Coturnix japonica: one gene and its partners. The protein of the gene in region 1 interacts with the protein of each later gene in a pairwise test. Links are inferred from orthologs where the notes say so. Each region holds a gene or a part of one and is shown on either strand. Other genes may lie near its edges. The genes, in order: KIF2A, LARP1B and FAM13C.

Region 1 (3,039 bases):
GTAGAACCATGTAACATGGCTGATGATATAGCCATTGGAGCACATACATAGTTTTTCTGAACTGAAAATATGGATTCTTTTTAAAACTTTCAGAGTGAGATAATTAAGAGGTAGGAAATACAGTCATCTTGAGTATATGTAGTAAGTAGTCTCTTTGTCTTACAGTCTGTACCCTTGCTAATTTTTTTTGTTTGTTTTGTTATCTTGGTGGATTTTTTTTATAACTGTTACCTAGGAATCTATTAGATGGCTGGAAGATGAAAAATCACTTCTTGAGATGACAGAAGAAGTAGACTATGACGTGGATTCTTATGCTACCCAACTTGAAGCAATTCTGGATCAAAAGATTGATGTTCTGACTGAACTTAGAGGTAGAATGCTTTTAATCACTTTCGCGTTTATTAGCAATGTGTAGTGTGGGCTTTTATTTTGGGAGATTTTTCCTCTTGCACTGTCATGTAGTGTAGAAGAAATGATTGTTCTGCTGCTTAGGAAAAAGTTCACATCTATATTCCATTCATTCTAGTTTGAAAGACAAATCTCTGCTGCGCCTCCAGCAACTTGTTTCTGCAACTTCATTTCCTTTTCCTTTATTCCAAAATGTTTAAGGGAAGAATAAGAAAATGCAAAGGAAATGTTTAAAAAAAAAAAAAAAAATAGTTTCAGGATCTGTGTTGGGCAAAGACATATTGGACCTCGTTCTTTCTTTTTCATTATAGACAAAGTGAAATCTTTCCGAGCAGCTCTCCAAGAGGAGGAACAGGCCAGTAAACAGATCAACCCAAAAAGACCGCGTGCCGTTTGAAAGGGGCCTTTGCTGCTAAAGGAATCCATGAACCCATACTGCTGTAGCACACATTTGTTACAAAACCCAGTGGCCCTAAGAACTCAACTACTTGAAAGTGTAAAAACATTAGAAATGTTTGTGGAAATGTCCTGTTTCTTATTCGCCTGAGTGACATTTTCGATTTTGTGTGAAATGCTCCTATGATGTCTACAAAATGCTTCTAGACCAGACAGCACAACCATGCAGGGTTTAGATCTGTGAAGCACTTTGTTTAAAATATTTCATTTATTCAAATTGTGAATTTTATGTTTTGAAATACTTGCCATGTTTTTAACAATGAAGTAAAACTGTGGCTATTAAAGAATCACAGTATTTCCATATAACTATGTTCAGTTTTGTTACAGAGATCAGCTGTGCAGTTTTAATTGTGTTTGCTTGCATGCTCACCTCACTAGTGGTTGTACGTAACTTCTCTTCTACAGATAGCTGTGCTTACCACTTCCTGTTCTGTGCCTTGATGAAGGCTACTTAACCCTGAATATCCTCCTTCTGAAGCACAGCCTTAAGCAACATTCCTAATTTTGTCAGTATAAATTACTTTCAGCGTATGTACATTTTTAATGTCTTTTGAAACTTTTTTTTGGTGAGTAGTTCATTCATTTCACAGAATGTGCCATATCATTTGAACAGGAACTGCAAGAGCTGTTAGAGTGGACAAACAGCTGGACATTCCATCCTCCTTGTAAAAATATGGATTCTAGATTTATTTGAGAATCATAAAGAATCGTTATATAACGCTTTTCTCAGTTAAAAAAGAAAAAAGAAAAAAACAAAACAATAAACTAGTTGATGTATAATAAAGGGTAATGTCTAAGTTCTGAGGAGAGTTGTATCTTAGGATAATGCAGATATGCAGCATGTGGTATGGTGTGATAATGCTGTCAGAATAAAGGTACAATCTGACCTCTGTGTATGGCTAGGATAACTGTCAAAGTTTGGGGATCTAGCTAAATAAATACTTTTTGGGGATCTAGCTAAATATACTGGCCTTTCACATACTGTTAAATTGGCTTTTGATGCATGACAGACTTACATGTACATTAACTGTAGTTTGCAGGTAGTTTGAGTAGCTCTGTTGCTTTAAAAATAGTAGCTAATACCTATTTTTCCCTTTGCAGTGCCAGCAGCTGAAAAGTGGTGTGAAATTGCATCATTTAAGGATTTGCACAATACCTCTACCTAGTGTTAGCAGGAATTCCGCGAGTAACTAAATTCTGACAAATGGCGCCATGTATATCAGCACTTCTTAGGTGGTGGCACTCAAGTTACTTTTGTGTATCCAAAAGAGATTGACCTTTCATGTAAGAACTTGTCATCAAAGGAAGAGTTGTAGACCTCTCTAGGAGTTCTCCCTGTTTCCTGGAGTTTCTATCAGCAGACTGGGAACTGCTGAAATATTACTCTTGGAATACAAGCCTGTTTGCTTATATAAGGCCTAGAGGGTAATAAAGGGAACGCAATAAAGAGAGAGTTAAATGAGCCAGGAATTCTTGTAGTGTTTAATGTTTGTATCTCCCATAGGAAGGTAGGCTATGGGAATCTCCTGTCGCATCATGGTTAAAAGAATAAAAAAAATTCCTCCTGTGTGTTAACATGAAAACTGAAAAAAAAAAAAAAAAAAAATGTAGATTTTACATAATGTGTTTAATAAATTAAGCTATTAAATGAACTACAAATGAGAATTCTATTAAAGTTCTGTTCTGTTTTGGGGAGGGCGGCACTTGGTTAAACATGTGGATTGATGCACTTTTGATAAGGCCAATGATTTTGAATGGATTTTAAGTTGTAGAAAGTAACTTTCTGTGCAAATCTGTAACATGTGAAGAAGAGCCTAGAGCAGCATCACAACTTGCATCTTGCAGTAGGCCTTAAAGATGTATTACACGTGCTTTGAGAATTTAGTCAAGAGCGTCATTCATCGCAGTTAAAAGAACAGTGGAAAAAAATAAGGCGGGTAGCTTTTGTTAACGGGTGGCAGTACAGGTTACTGCAGGTATGTCCAACCTGTGGCCTAGCTCCTCCCCAGTGCTACTGTGGCAGCAGCTCTGCCCTGCCAAGCAGCACCATCTCCCACAACAACCAAACAGTGGTGCGCAGTCAGCAGCGTCTGGGCTGAACCCGGGGCTTGGGGTTTAGTGCAATGTTAACTAAAGTTACAGCAAGTAATGTGCATTTTATATGTTGGCTGAATG
Region 2 (4,263 bases), on another chromosome or scaffold:
TCGTGTTGCAGTGTTCAGCTACGCTGGCTAAAAAGTGAAGGCTCCTGTAACACCTCAGCATGCTAAGATTGACAAAATGTCAGGGGGACAGATGGAGTGGGAAATAGGCTTTGCAGGTGGAAGGAAAAGCTCTGAAATGTGTCTAATCAGTGTCAAATGGAGCCTTCTGTAATTTTTCTTCTGAAGTCCAAAGAGCATGCCCTGAAAAGTGACCATTCAGCTTGTGTTGTAGTAAGGATAAATCATTTGTGTTGTGTTACTCGTGTAAGTCAACAACACCCTTAAGTGGCAAAAAGACACCTTGGCTCCAAAAATTGGAGCCTAGTCTTACTAGAATGCTATCTAAATGGATTCTCTTTAAATAGTAGGTTTTATAATAAAGTGAAGATTCTTAGCGTGGTATTTTTGCTTGGGAATCACTAACATTTGGGGCCTCTGCATGTTTTTATTAATATGTTTAATTTGTCTTGTGTCAGTTATATATGTATATATATATTTTTATATACATGTTGATTGTAATTACAGTTGGTGGGGCAGAGAGCTTTCTTTATCTTAAGTTGTCAGGTTCTGTGTCAGCTTGGCTGTAATGATAAGTTACACAGTGTTGAAGGAAAGTTTGTATATAATGTCATGCAGGCATGCCATTCCCCATGCAAAACCATGACATGAGTAAAATGCTATTCTGTAATGCTACCACATTACTGCTCCCTGGCCCAGCTTTCCTCCTCCTCTTAACCGGCTTAATGCTTTTCCCTGGTCTTCAGGTGCCAGTACTGCAGTGTTCCTAATGTCCTGGCTGCCCTACAGACCTGCTGTCTTCTCCCTAGAACAAGGAAAAGGAAGAGGGAGGGTAATGCTGTTCTACCAGTGATTAGGTAGGGCTCTGTGTTTTCCTATTGCTCTTCACTGTGTCTGCATAGCCTCTGAGTTTAGGACAACAAATGAAATAACTGCAAAGTGTTCTGAGCTGACAGTATGGGAAATACTCCTCAGGAGTAAACGTATGCAGATAACGCCCTTATTCACTAGCAACACTTGCCTGTATTTCAATGAATTTCTCACTGTGATGTGTTACTGGTGTGTCCTTGACATGTGAATGTTGTGCACCTGAAGAAGCCGAGTTCTTACTTGCTAAGGAAAATGCTTCTAGGTGTTTGAAAATTTGCTGCCACTTTAATTGCACTTTTTTCTTACTATCAGTTAAAAATGAAGAAGAACGAAGCATCACTTGAACAGAAGGTGCTTCAGAGGCATCTGTAAATGTATTTCAAGGAAAGGTCTCCTTTATTTCCAATGTTTTCAGCTTAAATTTGCAGTGCCAGCAATGCATGCTAAGTTTGGCACAGGGTTTGTCACCACATAACCTCAGTAGAGCAGCGGTGTCTCAAGTGAAAGGTATTCCTGCCGAGGTAAAACTCTTGAAATGTGGTTATTTGTAACGTTACTTTCACAAACACTTAACTAGCTCCTACAGGGGCTGTTTGCAGACCTTCGTCGTGCTGTACAACACGTGGGAAAGGCCTATAATAAACCCCAACGTGCCCCACCCGCTTCGCTGGAGAGCTGACCCCGGTGCCAGGTGGGTGCCGCCGCCTCTCAGGGCCCGCGCCTCGCGCTCTGCCCGGTGCCGTAGCTCATCCGCCCGCCTGACCAGCCGCTTCCAAGCGGAGCCGACAGGCGCGTCCCACGTTACGCGGTTCTCAGCGCGGTTGCTAAGCGGGCCCCGTCCCCGCGTTAAAGGAATCCCGCCCGGCCTCCTTTCGTCCCGTTGCGCGCGCCCCCCACGGAGCCCGGGGCGCGGCCCTTGTGAGCTCACCGCGCCGCCGGGGTGGCCGCCGCCCTCCGAGCCGGCGGCTGGCAGCGAGCGGCCTCTTCGCTCCTCCCTCCTGCCCCCGCCGCGGTCGCCGGCGGAGGGGCCGCCGGAGCTGACAGGGGAGCCCCGGGAGACGGGGCGGAGCGGCGGCGGCCGGAGGAGGAGAGACGGCCGCCCCGCCTCGGCGCCCGTCCCCCTTCCCCCGAGGGCCGCTCGCGGCGGCCGGCAGGGCATGTCCGCCGCGCAGGTGTCCGCCGCGCCCGCCGAGCGCCCGGCCTGGGGCGCCGAGGGCCGGGACGGGCCGACGGAAGGGGCCCGGCGGAGAGAGCCCGCTTCTACCGGCGGGAAGGAGGCCTCGGAAAGCGGCGGCCGGCGAGAGCCCGAGCCCGAGGAGCGGCGACGGCAGGCGGCGGCCGAAGCCCCTCCGCCCAAGGAGAACCCGTGGACGAAGCGCAGAGCCGCGAGGGACGACGCGGCCGACGGGCAGCTCGTGCTGCGGGAGCCAGGTGCGGGGCGAGCCGCAGGGCCGGGCGGGCGGGGAGCTGGCGGGGTGCTGGCCGGCGCCGTGCGTCGCTTTCGGTTCTGCGGAAACACCGCGTGTGCCGGGGACGGCGCGTCCGTCCCCTCCTCCCCCGGCTCCGCTTTCCGCAGCGCTGCACGCGGCCGGCCCCGACAGCCCGTGCTTCTACATACATGGGCAGGGCGGCGGCGGGCGCTGCAGGCCCGGCACCGCGAGCGGAACGCTGAGCAGACCGTGCGGTGCTCTGACATGTAGGAGCTCTGCTGAATCCCCGCTGCTTTCCTGTTGCTCGGCTCTTTGTTTCTGTTTTGCTTTGGTTAGTTGGTTTTTGTTTTTTTTTTTTTTCTTTGTTGTTTTTTACCTGTTTATATAATTTCCCCGTTCAGTTCACTCCCGAGTTTTGCTTTTTAGGGCTCGTGAAGGCCTTAGTGTTAACAGCTGTAGTTCACTCACTCGTGCTGATGGTCAGTTCAGGCTGCTTCTGTGGGAAGAGATGGAGCGAGGGCAGCTTGATGCAATTTGCTGGTCTTTAATTACCACAAATGCAGAATAAAGGTGTGTGAGAGCTCCATACGGACTGCAGACCCGGCTGAAATAGCCCGGCGTTTGCCTTGGGCCCCTGAGAAGTTCCTCGAAGTCAGCACTTCTCGGAGTGCTGCTGTCGGCTGGAAGCAGCTGCCAGCCCCACATAACATGCCTGGTGTGTGCTCCCCGTGCTCTGTGCCGTGCTCCCGAGGGTTCCTGACAGCCCCGCTTGTGTTCTCATGGTCACTTTTATCCTGGAATTAATTGAGTGCCTCCCTCACCAAGAGAAATATACCCCTTGACACTTCCAAGCATGCGTATCGTGCAGGCAGACAGAAATGCTCTCCAGACCGCAGAACCTTTATTTAACTGAAGATGAAACCTTTTGGCAGCACGTGTGTCCATCTGTACCATCGGGCCTTGCTGTCTGTGTGTACTGACGCACTCGTAAATGCCGACTTAGCGTGGCTCCTGTAGCCCGGTGCTGTGCTGCAGTCCTGCCCGTGCATGACAGGGAGCTCGTCACCTGCCCGGGCTGCTGGGACAGTCCCAATAATAGTACAGTGGGAGCTGCTTTGGTGCACTATTGCCTTGTGGGCCTAGTGGGGGCCTGTGCTGGAAATGCTGCTCTTTGCTGAGGTTTTGCTTCCCACTTAAGTCAAAACACAAAAATAGTTGTTGGGGGAAGAGAGAATGGAAGCGTGGAGTCCATGCACCACATATGTTATGTGCACAGTGTGATTATTTCAGAGAGCTTTAAACTGTTATTCATCTGTACAGAAGTTATTGTTTATTAAATGACTGCCTAACTGTGCTGTTGCACTGGAGTAACTATTGCAGTGACAAGTGCAGAATTCAGCAAGTAGAGGAGCTGCTGGTGACAGTGGTACCAGTAAAAGGCATGTGAGGAGGGATGTGCTGTGGGGTGGCTGCCACGGGGAACTTTGGGGTGAGTCACTGCTTACTGCTTGTGGAGCATGGAGTGGCTGATCCAGCGGGGCTGAGAGAGGGAGTGACTGCGTGTGTGTGTGTGTGCCCCCATCTGCAGGAGATGTGTTCTGAGGAACCGAACTGACAAAGCAGTGTCAGCCGCGCCAGGCCCTTATAAGTGTGGTAGTATGGAAACTACGCATGTGAAATAGTAAGTAGGTGGGCAGATGCGCTGCTGGGATGGAATGTAAAACCGTCCATGCAGGGGATAATAAAACTGAAAAGAATCTCGCATCAAAGTAGCAGCTGAATCCTGTTCAACTCGTTGATCTTGGCCTAATTTGCTGAAAGTTTCCTGACACAAGCATGTGTGGCGGCGTGCTCAGTGATAGTTACACGCGGAGAAAGCTGCTTCCAGGCAGTCACCTCTGGCCATCCATGTGCTGTGGTGTTACTCATCTGTACCAGAGGCAGA
Region 3 (4,176 bases), on another chromosome or scaffold:
AGTGTTCACACTTCCTGAATAAATCAGCATTTGGATGAAAGCATTTGCTGCATGCAACTGGAAAATATACCTACAGTTGCCTGATCCACCTTATCACATAACATTCCTGCAGTGGGTGCAGTTGTGCTCTTCCCTCTGAGAGGATGGTGGGCAACTGAATGCAGCCAAGTTTGTGCGTGCGTATTTGTGTGAGTACTCCTAAAATTGGACAAGTAAGCCGAGGATCACCTGCTCTCAGCTGGCTGTAGTAAAGGTGAGCTGAAGAAGCAGGAAGCCTAAGTAAGCATCTAGTACCTGATTACAGTCATAAATGAAGACAAGTTACAAATATTCCAACTGAACTTGACAAAATGTATTTGACTAACTAGATACCAGTAGATAGAAAGGATTAGCACAAATGAATCAGAGAAGACAGTGGCCATCATGCGTTGAAAAAGACTGTGAGGAAGTTCAGCAGCACCAAGACTGAAAGGGTGAATAGTTTTCCTTATCAGCAAGGATAAATATTAACTGAGAAAACTCACTCACATAAGACACTGCTTAAAGCCTAGACCATCATAGGATCCCAATCCACACAGACTTTACTCTGCCTCTCTAGCAATGCCTCTGTATTCCAGAGGTAGTTTAGTGGGAACATCTTTTTAATTTTTTTCCATTTTCACCTTTCAATAACAACCATTTCACTACAGCTGGAAAACTGCTTCCTTTTGCAGACTTGACCTTTAAGATGTTCACGTGAACAACTTCTCCACCAGGCTGCATGCATGGCTTCCTGGGAACACAGCAGCCCCAGGCACTTGCCTTATCTGGAGATATGTTCCTGAAAGTATTGTTTCACTGGTTTTACATCGTTCAGAGAAGTCAAATGGGGATGACTACCATTGCATGGCAAACTCTCTGTTTCTGCTAAATAGAAGAAACCTATTTTCAGATATGGTCAGAGCACAAACAATTCGTGCTGAAATCTGCAGTAATTGTGTGTCCTCACAAACAGGCTTTGGGGGCAGGCTTTAAACAAGATCTAGGGAAATCAACACTGGAAACCAAGTCAGACAATGCTTTTTGAATGATGTTGTCTGTCTGCTTTGTTTTCTAAAAGCCAGTTTCTACTTCCATGTTTGGTAAGATAAGATTATGAATTAAAGGCCCTGGAACAACACCAACAACAGCTTAAATGAAGAGATTCAGCCTTCAGACGACAGCCCAGCTCTGCCACGCAGCTGCCTCTCTGCTCCACACAGCACTGTCTGCGCCCATCTCCCCTCCCTTTCCCCAGGGATGCCACTTAGCCTTTCTTCCCTTGTCTTAATGATCACACAAAGCTGCAATGAGCAAAACCATCACATCCACATCCCAGAAAACCTCAAGGGTGAGGGAGGCAGCACCAGGCCAAGACAGGGGAATCTCTGTGTGAAACAGAGATGGATGTCAGGGGACAGAGCAAAGGAAGAGAGACAAAAAAGGAAATATATATATATATATACTTCCTGAAATCTGGCTATTCATTTATGAATTTTACATACCACAGCACAACACTTAAATAACAGGGACACATGAAAACAATTCAGAATGATGTGATGATTTATTATCTCCCATTATATCTTTCCATATTTACCACAATCACACAGAAAGAACAAGTAACTTAAAATATCAAAGAAAGCAAGGCAAAGAATGTAGGAGGGAAAATTTATTTAAACCCCCTCAAGAAATGTTGCTTACCTTCTCCTTTAGTGATTTTGACAACACTGAGTGATAGCGCAGACTAAATTACAACTTGGCCTGCTTTCAGAATGCATCCCCATAACACTTAAGCAAACAGATCACAGTCCAGCCAGGGTTTTTTAAATTATGAGCATTTTAGCAGTGTAAAACTCATCTAATGTACAAGCAAATCTATAAATCACTTCCTTCCTAAGATACTGCTTGGTGCATTACTGCCAAAGAGTCTTCCCTAAAAGGTTTTGAAACAATCAAAAGCATGCAAAATAACACAGAGAATATCTAAATCGAAGCATTTTATACTGGAATAAAAAAATGATTATTTTATTTATAATCCTCCCTAAAGACATTGCCTTTGTAACTTTCTAATGTCCTCACCCTCTTCTGTTGTCTCTTTATGACAACAACAAAATCAATGAATATGTCCTTATGATCACAATAAAGATGAAAACCTTCTCAATGAGTTTATGGAAATAATTACAAAGAACAATGTGTTTGGTGCCTGCTCTGTCTAAATGATGTTTCTGTGTTTGTTGTCTTTTTTTCCCCAAAAAATATTTTTAAAGAATTGTTTTTCCTAACGCATGCAGGAAATGCAGGGCATGCGTTCTGACATGCTTGTGTTTGTCGAGATCATCAGTACCAGAAATGAGCAATACAATCACTGGAGATTTATCCTACACTGAAATCATGCACTTAAACATTTGTGAGGTATATCAAATTTATATCCTCCCAGAAAAGTACTTTGTTGCCAAATGGTCTCACAAAATGTAAAGGCGTCTGTTTTATGCAATTCTTTTCAGAGTCTCAATAATATACTGAGATTAAGATTAACCTGAATCAAAATACATGACAGAAAGCTTGGGACCTCTCACACAGTACTTGCAATTATTTTCTACCACTCTTATTTAAAAATAAGGCACATCTTTAAAGTGTTGACTTACTCTGCTAAAGCTGTGGTGTTGAAGGAATTATCCTGAATGCTGAAACAGAAACAAGAAAACATCAGACAAGTCAGCAAGGCAGGCAGGCTCCCTGTTTCCTTCTCAGTTGTAGAAACACATGCACAAACATGGCATTGCAAGGCAAGTCTGTGTGTGTTAGCTCTACATGCGCGACTGTACCTTCGGCTGCTCTGCACATGCTCATAATCAAGGAACCACGGGGATTAGCCCTACAACACTTACAAAGCCCATCCAGCAGTGCTTTGAATAAATATGAGGATGCAGGTAGCCTGTGAGGCTCAGAGAAGGATCATATTCTGTTACAACAGTAACGCTGCCACTAATAAAAGCTGTAGGTTTACAAACAAGTATTTGGCATTCTGCTCTTTAAATGATTGCAATTGGCTAATCAAACACAATGTTATTTTTATTTACTTAAATAGGATTGTTAAAATATCTGGAGGTCTTTTTCTTCTCATTTAGAAGTCTTTTATACACTCAGCTCATGGTCAGATCCCAAGGGAAGCAACGCAAAAATAATCTGGGAGAAAGAGCAGTTCAAGTAGCAAAAGGTTATTGAGCAAACAGCAAGGAATAGATGAAACCATTCCTAAGAAAGGAATAGGCTGCTGCCCTTTTGCAGCAACATTTTTCAGACTTGATGTAATATGTTCAGGAAGGGTCAGCTCAGGATACAGCAAACGGTTGGTTTTGAGGCAGCGATGGAATTCCCCCTTAAGCAACACCTCTCAAATCCAGTTGGAACATTCTGAAATGTTAGCAGCAGAAAACAAACAAAATCCATTCTCACTGAGACATATTAGGGCAGGGAGGAGGAGGAGAAGGTAATACAGGGAGCTGCGTCTTACAAGCACTCCTATTTGTGACAACGGCACCACACAAAACCCAGCAGCACATGGAGCAGGGACAGAGAGGCACAGCATCCCTTCCCCACAGAAGCAGCAGCCAGGGCCACAGAAGTGACAATTTCCCTTCTCTCCCGAACAGTGCTGGCAATGTGCCTTATCTTCCCAGCCTCTCTACCTGCTTGCACACAGTGTTTGCTCTTTTCTATATTTGTATATACAGCAATTTATTTCATGGCACAAATTATCAGGAAATCTGTCCATAGGGACTTCAGCCCTACAAAAAAAAAAAAAAACAGGTTTTGTGAGAGGAGGTGAATAGAAAAAAAGAAGGAGGAATCACAGCTTTTAATCACAACATCACATTCACAAGCATCACACAGTGATTAGGGTAGATCTTAAAGAGACACTACATATTTATTCCCATTCCCCTTCCTACATACACACACACACACACAAGGAGGAGATGGAAAATAGAATGATCTTGTGAACATAATTTCTTCATTTCTACTTGTTAAGGTGAAATTCTCTGCTAATTCACCCCCTGTACAAACATACTGCAGTGTCTTGTTACTACCATTAACACAACATGACTGAAGACCAGTTTGTGAAACAGAGATGCCTTGGACTGAAACCAAGTTTAAAAT

What was found.
Region 2: the proteins of KIF2A (region 1) and LARP1B interact in binary tests that used the Homo sapiens proteins (3 or more experiments, as listed by UniProt). The two-hybrid records come from large-scale screens. The link is inferred for Coturnix japonica from reciprocal best matches to the Homo sapiens genes KIF2A and LARP1B.
Region 3: the proteins of KIF2A (region 1) and FAM13C interact in binary tests that used the Homo sapiens proteins (3 or more experiments, as listed by UniProt). The two-hybrid records come from large-scale screens. The link is inferred for Coturnix japonica from reciprocal best matches to the Homo sapiens genes KIF2A and FAM13C.

The regions. Positions count from the first base shown.
Region 1 is NC_029547.1:20,755,555-20,758,593, forward strand, and holds the end of KIF2A (kinesin-like protein KIF2A), read left to right. Parts: intron 1-235; coding exon 236-371; intron 372-719; coding exon 720-805; 3' UTR 806-2,523; downstream 2,524-3,039. UniProt on the Homo sapiens protein: Plus end-directed microtubule-dependent motor required for normal brain development. May regulate microtubule dynamics during axonal growth. Required for normal progression through mitosis. Required for normal congress of chromosomes at the metaphase plate.
Region 2 is NC_029519.1:30,352,863-30,357,125, forward strand, and holds the start of LARP1B (la-related protein 1B), read left to right. Parts: upstream 1-1,439; 5' UTR 1,440-2,045; coding exon 2,046-2,319; intron 2,320-4,263.
Region 3 is NC_029521.1:52,920-57,095, reverse strand, and holds the start of FAM13C (protein FAM13C), read right to left. Parts: upstream 2,823-4,176; 5' UTR 2,726-2,822; coding exon 2,664-2,725; intron 1-2,663.